Arabidopsis thaliana: one gene and its partner. The protein of the gene in region 1 interacts with the protein of each later gene in a pairwise test. Each region holds a gene or a part of one and is shown on either strand. Other genes may lie near its edges.

Evidence for each region.
Region 2: the proteins of MGP (region 1) and AT3G49950 interact in binary tests that used the Arabidopsis thaliana proteins (3 or more experiments, as listed by UniProt).

Annotation. Positions count from the first base shown.
Region 1 is NC_003070.9:966,790-972,411, forward strand, and holds MGP (C2H2 and C2HC zinc fingers superfamily protein), read right to left. Parts: upstream 3,546-5,622; 5' UTR 3,270-3,545; coding exon 3,119-3,269; intron 2,923-3,118; coding exon 2,526-2,922; intron 1,780-2,525; coding exon 807-1,779; 3' UTR 681-806; downstream 1-680. UniProt on the Arabidopsis thaliana protein: Transcription factor that regulates tissue boundaries and asymmetric cell division. Contributes to the sequestration of 'SHORT-ROOT' to the nucleus. Interacts with the SCR and MGP promoters.
Region 2 is NC_003074.8:18,520,601-18,524,455, reverse strand, and holds AT3G49950 (GRAS family transcription factor), read right to left. Parts: upstream 1,991-3,855; 5' UTR 1,887-1,990; coding exon 654-1,886; 3' UTR 522-653; downstream 1-521. Other genes in the region: AT3G49960 (Peroxidase superfamily protein), read left to right, coding at 1-143. UniProt on the Arabidopsis thaliana protein: Probable transcription factor involved in plant development.

The DNA of each region.
Region 1 (5,622 bases):
GGAGAGATAGACAGAGAAAGATCTCCCAAAGACCGACTGAAGATTTGGTCCGTACTAATCAAAGGCCCATAAGTTTAAGCCCATTAAGATTTTCCAGAACCACTAGCAATATTATTACCTAATTTTATTTTATTTTGGTGAGAATTATTATTAGCTATTCTTTAAAGAAAATCTTTTCTCTTTTATTTTTCTATCTCTCTTCATTTTTCATTTCTTAATGTTTTCCTCCACTATGAATTGCCCTGCAAGTTAAGTTTAGAATTATTGAGCTCAAAAGCCTTCATGTTTTTCTTGTGTGCCCACCACTTCTCGATCCACACTTTTTCTATGGCATATATACAAAATACATACAATTGATTAAGTACTTATTTATTTTTAAAAAAGCATATCAAACACCTTTCTACACATAGTGAATATGAATGAATCTTAACTTTTCTTCAACGAAAAAAAAAAAAAAATTCTTCAACGAAAATGCTCATATAATAATACCAATATGTGAATCACACTACATTATACTTGTGTCTAGTGTAGTCTATAAATTGAAAAAATAAAATAAGAAGAGTACTACAAGTATAGACTAGTTGACCTAAATTTAGCAAAAATCTGATGGAAGAGTAAATTTTGAGACGTAGGTGATCATTTTGAATTTGAGAAGATACGATAAATCTAATAACCACAATCGATCGTAAAATTAATTTATGATTTTGGTCTGGTGAAATAAATCATTTTTAAAATTAATTAAAGAAATCAGCTTTGATAATTAAGTTCACTCATAAATAAGGTAGAAAAATCCATTAAAGAGTGTTTCAAATCCATCCATTGATAGAGGAAGAATGGCATATTGTTTGTACACCAACCCCAAGAAAATCCCGAGTTTGCCCTCCTCCTCCCGCATTCCCAATATCAACTCTTCTACGCTTCCAAGGGTAATTCTGTAATTCACCCATCCCCGAAACGACCGTAACGCCGTTTCTAGGGTTCCCGATCTCGTGAAGACCGTTATTATTATTACTCATTAACTCGACACTGTTCGATCCAAACGAAGCAAAGAACCTGTCGCTGCCACCATCTTCTACAATCTGATTACTCTTCGATGCAAAACTCTGAAGATACGCTGATTGGTCGGTAGTAATCGTCGTCGTTGGTGACGTAGAAGAAGTCGCTCCCATCTGAGCAGCTTTTTGGAGTAACGCAGTCGCCGACATATTTGCAACAGCCACAGAAGCAGCGTTTGCGTCTTGGGTAATTTGGTCAACGCTGCTAAAAAGAGAAGGCACGGAAAGAGAAGTTGCCCCGTTAGCGTTTTCCTTACTCTGGACGATATTAATATTATTGTCATGAGTAATGAGTGAATCGCTCGTCGTTATTAACTCGCCGTGATTATTCGCGTTTCCGAAAACCCAATTGTAATCCTCTTGCGGTGAATGCGGCTGCGGCGCCATACGGTCCTCGATGGTCACTTGCTGATGATGATTAATATTTCCTCCCGACCATAAAGAGAGCGTAGACGCTGGTTTCATGACGTCTTGATGATCGAAGTTGTTGGTTGTGATTGGGAATTGGTGGTGGTGATGATGTTGCGGTTGCGGTGGTCCGAACGGAAACGACGGTGGTTGTGGTAGTGATGGTGATGGGATAAGTGTCCCCATGAGATAATGATAGTTTAGATTACTACCAGCGGTTGCGGCAAAGCTTTTGAGATGCGAGGCTGCGTTTAGCCTAGCGGTTTCTTCTGCTAAAGCGTCACAGAACGCTCTATGTGTAATGAAGCTGTCTCTCCTGTTGACCAAATTATACACACCAATAAGATCAATATCGTCTATACACACTCGCTAATTTATGCTTGTGTTTAATATGTATGTATATAGTAATATAGATAGCAATTAAGGAAAAAAAGATAAATAAAGTTGTATATCTTACTTTAACCAAAATATGTCAATCCAAGAAACTGTCTTATTCAAGAAATCAAGCAGCACGTATGCTCAGAGAATGACCAATATGGCAATATCTATACAAAAGTAACTCCAAATTATTTTGTTTTAGACCCTACATGAGCTACTACTTCCAACAAAAAACATGTATCTTATTTACTTACAAATTGTTTCACAAAAAAAAAAAAAAAAATCTTATTTACTTACAAACAACGTGGTAAAACGAAATTTGTTTGTGTGGTCCAGTGGTACAGTAGTGTTAGTTGAGGTAACAGATTCGTTTTTTTTTTGTTTTTCATCATAGTATTCACCCGGTAAAATATAAGCTCTAGCTAGGTTTAGTATGAGTTTTAAGATATGTATATAAGTATATATATATTCTTCCTATATTCTAATATATTCAAACATGATTAACTTTACTGGTTAAGAAGTTAAAATCATATTTGAATCTATATATAATGCAATTAAACATGATATGCGCTTACAGCTAGGTGATCAAAATATTTGTTACGCCACTAAAAATATATGATACCGTGATGAGGAAATGTAAAGATCATCTATTAGTACGTACGTGTGTAGATATACACTAAGTACCTGGAGAAAATTGTACCACAGTCGCATCTATATTCTCTAGTCCCACAAGTCTTGGAATGAGCCTTCCAGTCAGATTGGACTGCATATCTCTTGGCGCATTTCTCACACTTCCACTTTTTCTCGCCATGTTTCCGACAAAAATGTTTCTTAATGCCGGTAAGATCACCAAGTGCCCTCGTCGGATGGTGGTGGACGCAACTCTTTTCTGGACATACATACACTCGTTTCCTTACTTCTTTGCTCGTCCTCTGCTTTAGCTTCCATGGGAGGTTGTGTCCTCGACGGTGAAGCTGTAGATTCTGGTCTCTTTGAAACCCTTTTCCACATATCTCGCAGAGGAAACGATTTGTGGCCATAAGTGTCTTTGGAGATAGAGCTATGACCTCAGCTTCTGGATCTATAGAGAACGAAATATAACAATCAAATTCTGGATACATATTTGATCATGTGAAAGATCTAAACAGTAGAAAGCATGCATGTTTGTAGATCAAGATCGAAAAAAAAAAGAACATGACTTTTCAGCAAACAGAAAAAAAAATGTTGATTAGGGTTGAATTATTTTGTGATCTCTATTAAACTTAATTAATTGTTACCAGGATTTCCAGGGAGGTTTCTCTTCTTCTTGACAAGAGGAGGATTGAGGGATTCATGTTGATCATGATGATGATGATCAACATGATCAGTTGTTGATGAGCTTTGGACATATCCTCCACTACTTGAAATTGTCTGATCTTCAGTTGTCATGTCTTCTTCTTGGACAAAAGTTTTGTTGGAAGAGATTGAAAAGGTAATTAATTAAGTTTTAAATAAGAGATGGAGGATGAGCAAAGGTAATGAAGAGAAAATAAATAGAAATACTTAGAATCTGATGTAGTTATGAATGAGAGGCAAACACAAAAGATAAGTTATATTGGGTGATCACTTTATATATACACCCTACACACTTAAGCCCCATATGTGTACTAAAAAATAATATTCCTCTTTCTTTCAAACAAAAAAATATAAGCACCTTGATCTGTAAGAACTGTCGCAGCTATTGTCATAAATTATTAAACTTTCATATATTTTTCCCATTTTATTTATATTTCGCAGTTAAAAGTTAATGGCGGTGGAAATTAACTATATTTATCTGGAAATATTTGATTATTTGGTTTTTCAGTGGCAGTGCGTCATGACACACACAAAAGTTTCTATGTCTGCCTTTTTCTATTTGGAATGATGATCTCATTATTTCTTTTCTCCGTTCTTTTTTTCATCATCCTCAGGTAAAATTAACTTCTTTAATTGTTCTTCTCCTTATAGTTTCTCTTAATGTTATTTTTAGTAGAAAGTCGTATATAAAGCACAGTCATGGTGTATATAATTTGAGATTTTAATTTGACCGTAAATTGAGGCGGTCAAAGAAGTAAACAGATCCAACGGCGCAGGTCACATCTCTCGTTTATTGTTGAGAACAAAGCCTGCAATGCACGTGTACCCATGCACGTGCTCGTGAGGTAAAATCCAACAACATACGACAACGAAATTAAAAACCTAAATATGCAAAAGAGAATAATCGTCCGGTCGACAGTGAAAACGAAAACCATGCGAACTCTTCCCGTCAAGTACCCCACTTCAAATTTTCGTTTTGATATTCGATTTTCCTTCAAAAAATTGTTAATTTTCCTTTGACAAAAACAAAAAAATTGCTAATTTCGATATTAATAATTGTGAAAAAATTCATGTTTGTGGAATTGAGTATAAGAGAAGTTAGTAGATACGTACGAGTATCTTGTTCATGCTTTTTCTTACAAAGATCTTTTTGCAATGCTCCCTATTCGTCTTTTTCTTTAGCAAACTTTTTCTCGCCCTACAAATGAAAGTATTTTCTAACGTATTTTTTTAAAAAAAAATAGAATCTTAACTTATTTTTAAAAAAGATCAGAACTCGAAATCCCATTAAAAAAAAAAAGATTGAACCAAAAAAGTAATTCTAACCTACTATATATGTGCAAGCTAGTAAATTTTCTCTCGGAGATCATAACTATTATAAACTCATACCAAAATTTTAATTGAAAATTTATTTTGTAGTTTATTATCCTAAGACTGAGCATATGTATCGGAGTTGTATAAACTAGTCTATTATTATTATCGTGTTATAATTTGGATAAAATCCTATATATAAAATAATATTGTAGATGAAAAAAAACGGTAAACAATTCGACCATATCAAAATCTCGATCATATCGATTTTCAAAGAAAAGTAAACTAAATGTGCTTTTTTATTTACCCCTAGCTGAAAGTAAGATAATTATGGTTAGTTAATTAATCGAAAGTACGAAGAGACAGAGAACTGACAAAATGCAGGTGAATTTTTGGAAGGAAGAGAAGTCGTCAGCTTGTGGGCTGACTTAATTACCAATTCTTTAGGTAATTTACACTTTAATCATAATGTAATCATGTTTTAAGATTCCTATAAAATAATAACATTAGTTTAGTGTTTTAGTTTTGGATTTTTCTTCTTGAACTTTGGCGGCACAAGAATATTCCCTTATTTTTCGAGACGTTGTTATAGTATATTATTGTTCCCTTTATATAATCAAGATTTATATACAGATGGGCATTTACACAAATGGGAAACTGGGATTTTTTTTTGTTACTGTAAAGTATAAAGAGATGCGTTCATATGAGTGTATCCAAAAACAAAAATATGTCAATTTTTTTGTTATGTAGAGCTCCTACGTACAAATGAATTTACACGATAATTATCTATTTGAATTTGGTCTATCCCGCTCATATTTAAATAAAGTTCGAATAGTAAATCCTATGTTTCAAGTTTCTAAAGAAATGCTGATTTGAATCTGTACAATATAATTGTAAATTGAGTATAGTTCAAAAAAAATTTGTGAACAATGATGATAGTGGAGATATAACGCATCAACACAAATAAAAAAGTTCAAATTTAGTCAAGAATAATTCTTTGTCTACATTTACATATGTTTCCATGGTCGTCGTTTATATATTTAAACATAGTTCATGAGTTTAAATACATATGAATTATTTTTAATTTAGCTGGCTATATCAATTTCAACATCATATATAAAACTATTGGAGCATT
Region 2 (3,855 bases), on another chromosome or scaffold:
CTAGGCCCACCGTTAATGCTTGGGCCTCAAACTCTACGGCCTTTAACCGCGCTTTTGTGATAGCCATGACCAAACTTGGCCGTGTTGGAGTTAAGAATAGCAGCAATGGAAACATCCGTCGTGATTGTGGTGCGTTTAACTAGAGCTGGTAATGGGAAAATATAAGTTGTCTTATCTCCTATTTTCCTTTCGTTTTATTAATGTTTGAATGTTCATTTTGACGATGAGAAGATATTATTGGTTTTTCATTTGTTTTGTTTATGTCTTCATTTTAAGAAGGCAATTGTATCTGATCCTCTCTACTTTGTATCTCCAACATGTTTATTCTCGCTACAAATTTAAATAACTATATACTATTCAATTTTTCCTATTATAATAAGTTTTCACTGTTATCACTAAGCCTATTCACGGAAAAATATCTATGTAAACTAAAAGTGCTTATGAAGATGTAAAATATGTTTAGTCATAATAACGATTATTTTTCAACGTTAGAATGTTTTGAACTAGTACAAAACAATTGACACTAGATTAGAACAAAAAAAAAAGTTAATAAAAAATATTATTAAATTGTAATTAGATCAGAAATTAAAGCAATGCTATTCTACTATATTAGGTATCCAATTAAAACGCTAATTAAATTAAATCAACCTGATTTAAATGGGAACCCAAACGGTAGCAAACACAACACTATGACCTTTCCACGTCAGCACGAGACTCTCGTCGTCGTCTTCCTTCTTCATTCCCCACCCGACAGCGTGCTCCTCCAGCATCGCCTTCACATCCGCCACCGCATCTTCTTTAACCCTAACTCCACCGAACTCAGCCTCTCTCATTCTCTCTATCCACCGTCTCTTCGTCTCCGTCCTCTCCACTCTCTCCGCACCTTCCTTCGCCACCACGTTTTCTATCTTCCAACTTATCTCCGCCTCGTACCACCGTCTCTGCTCACTCATAAACGTGTCCGTCGTATCGAACGGAATCCAGAAGTAGTTAAACGCCGATTTTAACCGGTTAACCAAGTTCTCCGATGTGAGATCTACGTCTTCTTCGATTAGGGTTACGATTCTTGGATTCAAAGATCGGAGTTGTTTCAAGAAAACTGTTCGGAGCGATGATGATGATGAAGTTAGGGGTTCTTCAGGGATGTAACGGAGCATCATGTGACAGTTAACGACGAGAGCTTCGTTGAATGAAGAAGGATAAATCCGTAACTGTTGTAAGAGGGAGGAGAAGCCATCGGAGTAAGTAGAAGGTACGATTGTGAACTCCATTGTAATGTTTCGTGTGGTGGCGAAGTTGACTAGTTTAGATCCGAGTTCTTCGTAGGAGATGTTGATGAATGGTGGGAAGTGGTCGGAGGAAGAGACGACGGTGAGTTTAAGAAGCGGAGGAGGTTTGTTGAGTCGGCTTGCCATGGCGTCTATAAGAGTAGGGATTTGCATACAATGAGTCAAACTTAAGTCAACGATGTGAACCGTTGAGTAACCTTCAACGGCGGTTAAGATCGCGGCGTTGGCTGCAATGAATCCGAACCGGTGCCACGGAGTGAGGTCTACGAAAGCGGCTAACTCCACGACTGAGAAACGATGGAGTTCATCGGCCTGAGGTAGGAAGCTAATGGTGGATGATAGTGTAGGGGTTTTGGAGACGGCGCGTGAGAGCAACGCGCGGAGGAATGCGGATGTAAGACGTTGGGTGGAGTCACCGTCTGGTGGAGCGATGTTGTTGAGGACCCAGAGGATTTGGTGAGTTAATGCAGCGTCGTTGGAGTCTATGGCGGTGGCGCAGTGAAGGAGGAGCTGTTCCATGAAGTTAGCGTCGCCGCAGCCACGTAAGGGTTTGGGAGAAGGGAATCGGGTCGGGTTGAGAATCCGGGTTTTGGTCATTTGAGTCTGGTTTTAGAGAGAAATGTACGTTTAATCTTGTTATTTTTGTGACACAAGAGGAAACAAAAAGAACAAAAAAAGAGTATAGTAGGGTGGAGACAATGACATGTCCATGATTTTTACGTAAAAGTATTCTGAAAAGTGAAAAATAGAGTGAAAGGAGACAAAGGAGAGGGATGAGGAAAGAAAGAGACGAGACAATAGAGAGAGTCGTGTAAGTATGTCGTAACCTTATCATTGGGAAACGCATCGCTTTGGTCGCTTGTGTTGTGTAAGACAAATATTTGCAAGATCAGCTTTTTTCAATGTATAGAAGATGTGCATATTGCATATGTGTTTATGTATCTCTATACATGTGCAATATGTCTTAAATAGCTAAAATAAGGAATCTTTAGTTAGGTCGGAGGGTGCATTTTATCTCCTATTTAGAGAAAGCATTACATTTTTTTAGTATGATTCACTCGAGTTATTGTAACATAAATATGAACTAGAAGCTGATATTTTTGTTATAGAAAGTATGTATGTGAAGGGGGTGCTTAAAGGTGGGTGACATGTGAAGTGGCAGGTTTGTATTTATGTATATATGTACGGCCGATCAATTTGTCTTCTAGGTGACGATTATTCTCTTTCGCCGCTCTATCGCATTCATCAATAAATCACTGCATACACTTTGGAACAAAAAATAATTTAAATTTATACCTCCATGAATTTGGTCCGTTTGTATGTAGCATTTGGACGTTATTTATTTTATTAAACTCAAAATATGTTTTGAGTCTTCAGATATAATTAAGAAGAAGATTTATTGGCCTTATCTCTTGAGATATATATAAGTCATATAACAATAGACTGATAAAGAAAAGTTATATAGCATTAGACTAAACAAAATGAAAACATGGACTAAACAATCAAACGGCTCCTATGTAGGGATAGGATAAGTATAGTGACAAATCTCATTATCATTATCAGTTTTTTTTCTATGCCTTTGGAAGTAGGTTCATTGCGTATTGGGTATTTTAGGCGCAATATGAAAGCGCTCACAAGGCATGATATTTTCAAGAAAATTGGTTGAGAGATCAAGTACCATCACCTCCAGGAGACATAGACGTTGGGCAGCCTAATGATGTTGTCGCTGTGATGAATTTAAACGAGCTCCATCATAGTTATTGTTGATAGAGATCTAAAATTCCTTCTGGTTCATCGGGATTTTGCCTCGCAAACCTCTGGGCGCACTATAAGGGTTCACAGAGTTGGCTCATAATCAGAATTTTTTCTGTTGATTTTTGCGCATGAAACAACGTGAATAACTCCTCAACGATATTAGCAGCCATCACAAACATCAGAGTATATGCCATTAGCCTCTCCTCTCATAACCATATATGAAATAAACAAATAAGCATACTAATCTCTAAACCAAATTGAACAGAGACATAAAAAACAGAAGACTCATGAATCTTGACCACGTTCCGAGAAATGTCCGTAGATCGATTATGAAAACAAGAGTAGAAATCCCTAGCTAGTTATATTAGGTAGACTTGATAACGCATAACACTTTATTTATTCTGCTTCACCTTTTCGCTAACACTATACACTTTATAGTCCAAGTTACCTTCACGTCTTCTCCTTCACGAACACGTATATGTTTCTCTGTTTCATAAAACTTAAAAACCTACTTGAAACCTAAGGTCTTTCCGTAAAGTCTATTGGGCTTCATCAAAATAATACAAAGTGAAAATTTCCGGCCCCATGGTTTCAAGCCCATTTCAATTACTTGGGGGGGGGGGGGGGGGGAGGGGGGTATTGGAGCAATGAATTTGACGGAATTTATTAGAATGTTGATTCTAGTGTTATTCAATTAGGCATTTTATAAATTCTTTTAAATTCTAGTATTATTCAGTTTCTCAATTTCTTAATTCTACTAAATTCAAGTGTTATTCAATATTTTGTAATTTTTCATGACAACGTCATTTGT